Linked DNA regions of Cricetulus griseus. The protein of the gene in region 2 binds, or shares a complex with, the protein of the main gene of each other region. Links are inferred from orthologs where the notes say so. Each region holds a gene or a part of one and is shown on either strand. Other genes may lie near its edges.

Region 1 (4,267 bases), on a different chromosome or scaffold from region 2:
ACACACACACACACACACACACACACACACACACGCGCACACACACGCAGTCGCATGCCATCTTGACAGGTCAAGTTCCGTCTATGGGGCTCCGGGGACTCATTTCACTCCCTCCATCCAGTGGGCCTCAGTTTCCCCTAAGTGAAAAAGAAGGCAAAGGTGTTTGCTTGTTTGCTTGGGAGGTTGGCGTATTGAAACAGGCTCAGCGTAGTCCAGGCTGACCTAGAACTTAACTCTATAGCCCATGCTGGCCTCAAGCTCACAATGGAGCAGAGGGTGACTTTGCAGGGGGGAAAAATGTTTTTTAATAGTAAAAGTGAGTTATCTGTACAAAAACAAAACCAAAAAGTCACAAATGACTCTATTTTCCTTTTTCTATAATACCAGTACTTAGACAGTCCTGGGTACAAACAAGTTGGGTTGTTACCACCTCCAAAGTGTTTGATTTTATATGTTTATTTTTGAGACAGGGACTCAGTAGCCCAAGTTGGCCTTCCAAGTGCTACCGTTACAAGCATGAGTCACCACCCCGTGCTCCCAAACTGTTAAACTTTAATAGGCCATTTCCTTAATGTCTCTGTGCCTCCATATTACTACCTGTAAAATGGGGTCAAGACCAGGGCACAAAACTTGTCCTAGCATCACACTTTATCTGTGGTGGGGGTTTAAATGGAATCAGACCCGTATTTACAGTGCCTGGCACGAAGACGTGTGAGCGAACCCGCCTGTCATTTCAAAATAAAATAACAGTCGCCGCTTCTGTTATTACTGCAAGAGGAAAGGAATGAACCCAGGCGCTTTCTTTCAGAACCCGCTCTGCCCAAGAGCCTTCAGACAGACCTCTGACCCCTTCCCCGCCTTCCCAGCTCCCGGATGCAGCAGACACTCAACAAATATTTGTCAAACTGGGAGAAAAGGAACCATTTCTTGTAACTTTCCACCTCGGCTACCCCCGGTCAAACCTGCCCACCCCCTTCCCCAACACTGCACAAGAACCCCTGAAGGCCCTGGACCCAGGCTTCTCAGTCTTGGGCCTCAGTTTACCCAGCTGGGAACAGGGGGACGGGTCTCTGTCTGTCTGCCTCTCTCTTTTAGTCCTAGCTGTCCCAGGATTACAGGGACACAGCTCACCAAGTGACCAAGGGAGACCCTCTCTGAAGGGGGTGGGGGACCCACCCGTCCCCCTTGCGCCCTCCCTCAGGGGAGGGAGGTTTGTCCCGGGTCAGTCAGAGGGAGGAGGGCTGCGGGAGGACCGCGGCTGGGGGTGGGGGTTTAGGGGGCCGGCCCAGACGTTGCTCCTGCCCTTTTACGGTCTCAGCGAGTGAGGCGGCACTAACTCGGACATCCGCCATCCGCCTTCCACTGGGCCTGGGACCGGAAACGGGTGGGGGAGGGGCAGGGCTGGGGGCAGCAGGAGGTGGGGGGGCGAGTGGAGTGAGGAACTGACCCCCTCGAGGGGGGACAGCGCTCCCATGGGGGAGGGAAGGACAGGCAGGCAGGAAGTCTCCAGGGTGTCTCGAGGTCCCCTTCCAGATCCCAACACTCCCACAGGCCAAGGGACAGACCAGAGGGAGGGAGGGAGGCAGGGGTCCTCGCGCGGGGTCCTAGAGAGGAATGTCACCCTGACGTCCCGGGCCAAGAGTGGAGCATGTGCGCACCGGGGGACACCCCCAAAGTGTCCCCAGGAGACTCCTCCCCTAGCCAGGGGCTCTGGGGCAGGAAGTCCCAGCCAAAGTGGAGGAAGGGAGATAGCATTGTCAAGATGTAACCCCAAGGGGGAGATGATGGGGGGCCCGGGCCCCGCCCTCAGGTGAGCCCAGGAGTTCAGGGCAGGCGCGTCCAGGGAAGACATTAATTTAAAAAAAGAAGAAAAAGAAATTCCTGGGTTCCCCTCACCCCCCGCCCCCAGGATTAAATTTCCAAGAAGAGAGCTGCAAGAAGCCCGGGAAGCCTGGGTCCCTGAGGGAGAAGGCTGTGACCTTGACGCTTTCCAGCGCCCCCTCCTCCAATCCCACGGCTTGGGGAAGGGGGAGTGACACCGGGCGACACTGGGAGCCCAGGGGGAGGGGCCGGGATGTGGGGAAAGCAGCTGGCCCACAGTGCTCACTCGGGGGCCCGCCCCCCACGCCAGCTGTCTCGACAGGTGAGTCAGGAAGACAAAGGCCCCCCTCCCCCAGCTGCCGCGCCCCCTCCCTCCTGAGCCACCAGGTGGGTGGGGGGGGTGGGACAGAGCCACCCTGGGCCTGGGGTGAGTGCTCCCGGGCACCCAGGGGGGAGGGAGTCCCAGGCAGACCCTCCAGGGGACCCCTCTGCAGGAGGAGCCCCCCACATCTAGAGGCGACGAGAAGTAACCCCGAAGTTAAGAACCGCGGTGGGACCCTCACCCCGCGCCCCTGACGCAGGGGTGCGGAGACCCCCGCCCTCCCCCCGCCCCCCCAGGAGGGCTCAGAGTTCCAGGGCTCGCACCGGCTCGCACGGGCTCTCCAGCCAGCCTCCCACCACCTCCCCAAGACGGCACGGGAGTTGGGGCACGGACTCCTCCGAGCAGCCCGGCTTCCACGGGACGGCCCCACCTCTCCGCCAACTCGGAGGTGCTCCCCAAAGTCCTGCAATCCCGAGTCCCGACAGCGAGCGCCCCCCAAGCCTGACCCCCCCGGAGCCCCGGAGACCCCCCCCTCCAGCCGGCGCCGCCCCAAGCCTGCGGGGAGCAGCGCGGAGGAAAAGGGGGGAGTGCAGAGCGCCCCGGGAGGCGATCGGCTCCGAGTTGGGGCGCCCGGCGCGTCCCCTGATCGCAGCCTGGGGCGAGCCGGGGGGGAGGGGGACAAAGGCGGGGCGCGGACCCGGCTGGCACGGGCGCGCGGTGGGGTTCGGGGCTCACCTCATGGCTGCGCGCTGGGCGGGCGAGCGGCTCGCCCGCGGGGAGGGCTCCCGCGGCGGCCCCGATGGGAAGTGCAGGGGTGCGGGGCCGGCTCCAGGTTCTTGTGCTCAGGCTCTCCCGGGGTCCCGCCCCGTAGAGTCCGGCTTCCTGAGGAGCGGAGCGAACGTGGACCGGGCCGGGGCGGGTCCTCCCTCGGGCGCCTCCTCCCTGCGGGGCTCCGATGCACCGAGCCCCCCCCCCTGCGCTGGAGAGCGGGGTGCGGCGAGCGGACCTCCCCCGCGCACCCCGTCGGCCAGCTGCACCTCGGCGGCTACTCTTTACTACTGTACTCTCTTTGCTACATTTCGTTCCAAAATTCCACTCCCCGCGCCCACAATGCCCCGCGCCTTAAAGGCGCCGCGGACAGCTCAGGGCGAGCGCAGGGGAGGGGGGGGCGGAGAGCGCTTATAAGGCAACGCGGAACCTCCCTCCGGCTTCCGCAATCGCTCGCCTCCCCGAGCCCGGCGGCGTGGGGGTGCAGCACCCCCGGGCCGGGCCGGGCTGGGCTGGGGGGGGGAGCGCGGGGAAGGAGAGGCGGCCTTTCTTTGATCCCCAGGTGCCCCCACTATTGAATCCTTAAAGGTAGCGATCTGGGGGGTGCAGGATCTGGCGCGCTCCGTGCGTGCACTTCTTGTGCTCAGTTCTTTTTTTTGGGGGGTGGGGTGGGGCGGGGCGGGACCCTGTGGTTAAGCAAGGGGACCTCATCGATTTCCACCTTTAAGTAACACTCCCGCAGGTTCCGTGTTCCCCAGATCTGGCTTCTCAGGCCGGGCCCCGCCCCTCGCCGCCCCCCCACCCTCCCGGGGAAGGTGTGGAGGAAGTGGGCGAGCGGGCGAGCGAGGGGGCGCGGCGGGGCCGCTGACTCACCGTCGCTGGGTCGTGGCTGGGGGATGGGGTTGGGGGTGGGGGGGCGGGGGTGAAGGTGGGGACCGACCCGGAGCGCAGGGGAAGGGGTGGGACCCCCTAATCCGCCCCCCTCCATGCCCAGCTACGACTCAGTTTCGCCCACGGCACACAGTAGGACCGCCCCAGCCACCCCGTAGGCTCAGAGGCCCAGGGACCCTCCTTGGGGACCCCCCCTCCCCCCCGCGCACCCGGGAGGAGTCGAGCCCAGACACCCTCCGAGGCTTCCGCAGTTGAGCCCCGCGCAGGCCCCGCCCAGAGTTACATCATCACCATATGGACACGCCCCCTCCCGTAGAGCTCCACCTGGCAGGGTGAAAGGCGTTAACCCCGGGCAAGCGCCGGTTCCTGCTTTACAGGTCGGGAAACTGAGGCACGCAGGTAGGGGATGGGGTTAGCCTATGATCGTCTTGGTTGAGCCCTCCCAAGACTCACGGAGGATCAACC
Region 2 (4,281 bases):
AAATACATTCATGTATCAGTGAGCTGTCAGAGTAAACTTCAATTTTAAAAGTTCTTTTTGAAATATTAGATTTTTTTTCTGCCAGGTTGAAACTAGAATTTTTATATCAAGTCTGGAGATTAGTACCATAGTTTGTGGGTCAAGTATGTAAACTGCATGTAGTTACCTACTTTTCAAATTGAAATCTTTAGAAGTAGTTCAGTAAATGGAGAATGTACTCCAAAACCCTCATTTAACTATTTCTCTCTTCTTCAGAAATGTTCCTGGCAGAAGAACTAACCAATGTGATTTTTAATGATGAGCAGTGAATTTATTTCAAATCTAAGCAAACTTGAAAGATCCACAAGACTCATTAGAGACAAAATAACGAGGTGTCTTGAACAGTTTAGCATCATATATACCACAGTATTATGACACTGGGTTGTTTAAGGGGCAACTTTTCATTTTCATTTACTAAAGCTGAAGATGAAGAGTTGACATTAATAATTTAGAGTAAGTCAGGGTGAAAGAGGTGAGGCTTCGAGTGTAAAAACTGTAAAGTAGACAGACTGAAAGCAGTACCTCCCCTTCAGTGCTGAGCAGTTCACAAAAACACCTTCATAGACATTATGAACTAGTTTTTAATTCAGACCATTAAAGAAACTCAAGTGTAATATGGCATGCAACTTTTAGGCACACACACACAAAATAAGAAAGAGCTCACTTACCTCTACCAGCTCTGCCAACAGCAACATTGTATGTTGGCTCCCCACCTTGACTCTTTGTCCGGATATCCATTGTGCAGTCACCATCAACGTATAGACTATCTCTGATCACTGAACACTTCTTTGCACCAAGAGTCAAACCGTTGGTAAAGAAACCTTCCCGGTCTTTTCCTACAATCATATCTATTTCTACTGGCTGGCCACCCAAAACAAAGAAAAAAAAATTGCAGTTAATTCCTTTCAGAGTTTGATACAAGGAACAGTGCTGATGTAAAATCAAGATAACATTTTCTGTTATTGCCTATTCCTACATGATTACACGCTTAACACATTAGTCTGCCTTTGCATTTTAACAGTGAGTTCTGCTAACTAAAAGCTAGTGCAATACCAACCATACAAAGAGTCTCCCTAAATAGTTGGCAGTTGACACTAGGTACAAACTGAAAACGAGTTATTTATAAACTATATCACGTCAGGTGGTGCCTGAAGGTGCTTATGTAATTGTAAAGATTCAGCTATAAGCTCTTCCAACAGCTTGCCTATCATATTCAGCCACATTAGTCATGTTGCAACAAATTTAAAGTTGCAAAAGTCTCCCCAGATAAACCTGCTCACTTCTCTCCTTAGAGCAGCTTGAAATATCCTTGGTAGCATGAATCTCAATCACCAGACTGGCGGACATTTCCAAATTCGTATTTCCCTCCTATTTTCTAGCCACTACTCCTTTCTCTCCAACTTGCCTTGCCCTTTCATTCAGTAATCAGCTTTCTTTCTGTCTCCAGCACTACCGTCGGCGATAGTAAAATTATAGAGAAAATGGAGGGGCACTGGTAAAGAAAGTGAGGTAGCCACCAGAACCGGAAAAGAGAAAACGTGCATTCTAACATTCCATGAATAAGAAGGAAGGCGTCGCCCCCATCAGAACTGCAAAGTCATAGCAGGCCCCAGCCATTTCCAAGCACACTCCCGCAATCTTCTTAGCCAGACAGCGGGAACTCACACACAAAGACAAGACTGCAGGAAAAAAAAAGTTGATCACCGAATGTCAATTCCATATAGGAATTGTAGTCTCCCACACCGGGACAGAAGATCCTAAGGCACTCCTATCAAGGGCTGAATCTACACTAATATGTTAAACCATGTCAAGTAGTAAAATGCTGAGTACCTGTGATATGAAACATGAATTTTGCTGTGTGATAGGAAGAGAGTGGGAGTGTGGGGCTACGAAATTAAGGGAATGGTCTTGTACTTGATACTGGAGTCAACATTTTAAAGAGCCTTACGTAGAAATGGGCATAACAATAAGCAGTACTGGAGGCTGATTGACGAATATCTCCCAAATGTGTGGCAACCAAGTCAAAAGCCATCAAGACACCCGAATATGAAGCAAGGTGAAGCATAAATCCGTATTAGTTCTTTTACTACCATCACTAAAGAGGGAGTGACTTGGAGAAGTGTCACCCCTCCCGCGACTTCCAGATAATTTTTTTTTCTTTTAACCACCCTAAAACCATCCTCTTTTTAGGGCTAGGTTGCGTAACTGGGGATAACGGTATATCGATGAATCTCTATAGGTGGAGAAGAGAAATCAATGGCAGTTCGCCATCTTGGAGGAAAAAAAAAAACTATAGAGCCACAGATGAAGTAGATTCACGATTCCACATACGTGGTCCGCGTACCCTTCTTGCCAGCCCAGGAGGCCTGGGTACAGGCAAGCCTACGCAAAGTCACTCTATTAATTCTAGGGACCTGGCCACCGCTGCCTCCCACAGCCCGCGCTCACCGCCGAGTCGGGGCTAGCCGGCCGCCCAGGACCCCCGCCCACACCCGGGGACCCGCACTGCAGCCCACGGGCCTCCCGGAACGCCGAGGGGCCTCTCGGGGAGACGTCCCCTCCTCCACCCCGGCAGTCGCAAGCCGGGGCGCCGCCGGGGCTAAGAGTCCGGCCGCCCCGCCCCCGCGCGGCCTCGGGCAGCATCCCCAGTCTCAGCGGCCCACATCCAGGGACTCGGCCGCATCCATCCCCTCCCCGAGCCGGCAGCATCCCTTGCTCAAGCCCCGGCCGCATCCGTCCCCTTCCTCGCGGGCGGCGTCCCCTCCTCGGAGGCCCGCCGCACACCTGCAGGCTCGGCGCCCCAGGGCCTCACCGTGATGCTCTGGAAGACGCCCCCGGCCGTGGCTGCCCAGACGTATTTGGCGTCGCAGTAGCCGACAATGGCGGCCTCCTGGCAGCAGCCATCGCACATCAGGTTATCCACGTAGCTCTGCCAACCGGCCATCTTCGAGCCCTTCGCACTGCAGCGGGGACGGCAGGAGCAAAGGCGCAGCGGCGGCGGCGGCGGCGGCGGCGGAGGCGGGGCGGGGGCGGGGAGGAGGCGGCTCTGCGCAGGCACCGACCGCCCCTCTCCGGGAACTGCGGCGGGCGGGGACAGGACCCGCAGCGGGGACGCGGCGGGCGGCCGCGGCCGCGAGGCTCAGGAGCCGGCGGCGGCGGCGGCGGCGGAACGATGCGGGCAGCGGGGCTGGCGACGGCTGACTGTCAATGCGGCTCCCTCCGTTCTCCGGGGCCAGCGGGACGTGAGCGCGCGTGCGTGCGATCCTTCCGCAGCGCGGCCGGCCGGCGAGGGTCTCGGGAAGGGCGGGGGAGCTGAGGCGGGGGCGCGGATGGATACCGCCGGGGACAATCACGGCTGACACGTGCGACAGGAGAGCGGACTAGCCGCTGGCGCTGGCTGGGGCGCGGCTCCGGGGCTTCAGGCCAGGCGAGGCAGCATGAGTGGGTGCCGTGGGGTGCCCCTGGAGCTCCGCACGCGGGTCCACCGTGCGCCCTCCTCCAGCGCTGGCTCTGGATGCGGTATTGACAGCCGCGGTGTCTGGTGGCTGGGTTGCCCTGGTTACGGATGCGGCGGGGTTTACTCTTTGTGGTTGGTGGGAGCGGCCAGTGAGAGTTGCCCATGCTTGGGCAGGAACCTCGGAGAAGATCTCTGCCAGCTGCTCCGCAGCATGCAACTGAAATCAGAGCCGCGGCAGGGGAGCGCGCTCCGTGTTCTTTGTTGCCTCCTTGGGTACCAGGAGTCTGGGGTTCTGTGGAACCTTTGCCCTGAACCCAGTGTTGCTAATCATGCCAGGGCCTCGATCATCCAGAAATTCTAAATGAAACAGACCTGCGTGCACTTGGTAACTGGAAAAGATTCTGTGCGTTGCATACGTCGCTGAAAATACACAGTATCCAAGCTAGGGAAGGTTCTAGAGCAGTGGTTCTCAACCTTCCTGAAGCTGTGACCTTTCAATACAGTTCCTCATGTTGTGGTGACCCCAACCATAAAATTGTTTTCCTTGTTATTTCAGAACTGTGATTTTGCTACTGTTATGCAACCCCAAAGGGGTCATGACCCATAAGTTGAGCACCACTGTCCTAACAGTGAGAAATCATTTCAGAATCCAAATCTGAGAAAGACTTGTATTTAACAGGGTGGAAGATAGTTGAGTCTCTGAACTTCCTCCTACATCTTTATTAGCTTTAGGCGTTGGGTCTAAACCCAGAATAGATGTTCTCCAACAACAAACCTGAGTGACC

What was found.
Region 1: the proteins of Pfn2 (region 2) and Vasp are in contact, whole or in part, in a crystal structure (PDB 2V8C), measured with the Mus musculus proteins. The link is inferred for Cricetulus griseus from reciprocal best matches to the Homo sapiens genes PFN2 and VASP. Residues at the interface, in NP_062283.1 of Mus musculus: Gly3, Trp4, Ser6, Tyr7, Asn10, Cys13, Tyr30, Trp32, Met131, Tyr134, Ser138, Phe140; in NP_033525.2 of Mus musculus: Gly165, Pro166, Pro167, Pro168, Pro169, Pro170, Gly171, Pro172, Pro173, Pro174, Pro175, Pro176.

What each region holds. Positions count from the first base shown.
Region 1 is NC_048602.1:28,086,837-28,091,103, reverse strand, and holds the start of Vasp (vasodilator-stimulated phosphoprotein), read right to left. Parts: upstream 3,021-4,267; 5' UTR 2,884-3,020; coding exon 2,879-2,883; intron 1-2,878. UniProt on the Homo sapiens protein: Ena/VASP proteins are actin-associated proteins involved in a range of processes dependent on cytoskeleton remodeling and cell polarity such as axon guidance, lamellipodial and filopodial dynamics, platelet activation and cell migration.
Region 2 is NW_023276806.1:93,602,680-93,606,960, reverse strand, and holds the start of Pfn2 (profilin-2), read right to left. Parts: upstream 3,062-4,281; 5' UTR 2,984-3,061; coding exon 2,852-2,983; intron 901-2,851; coding exon 708-900; intron 1-707. UniProt on the Homo sapiens protein: Binds to actin and affects the structure of the cytoskeleton. At high concentrations, profilin prevents the polymerization of actin, whereas it enhances it at low concentrations. By binding to PIP2, it inhibits the formation of IP3 and DG.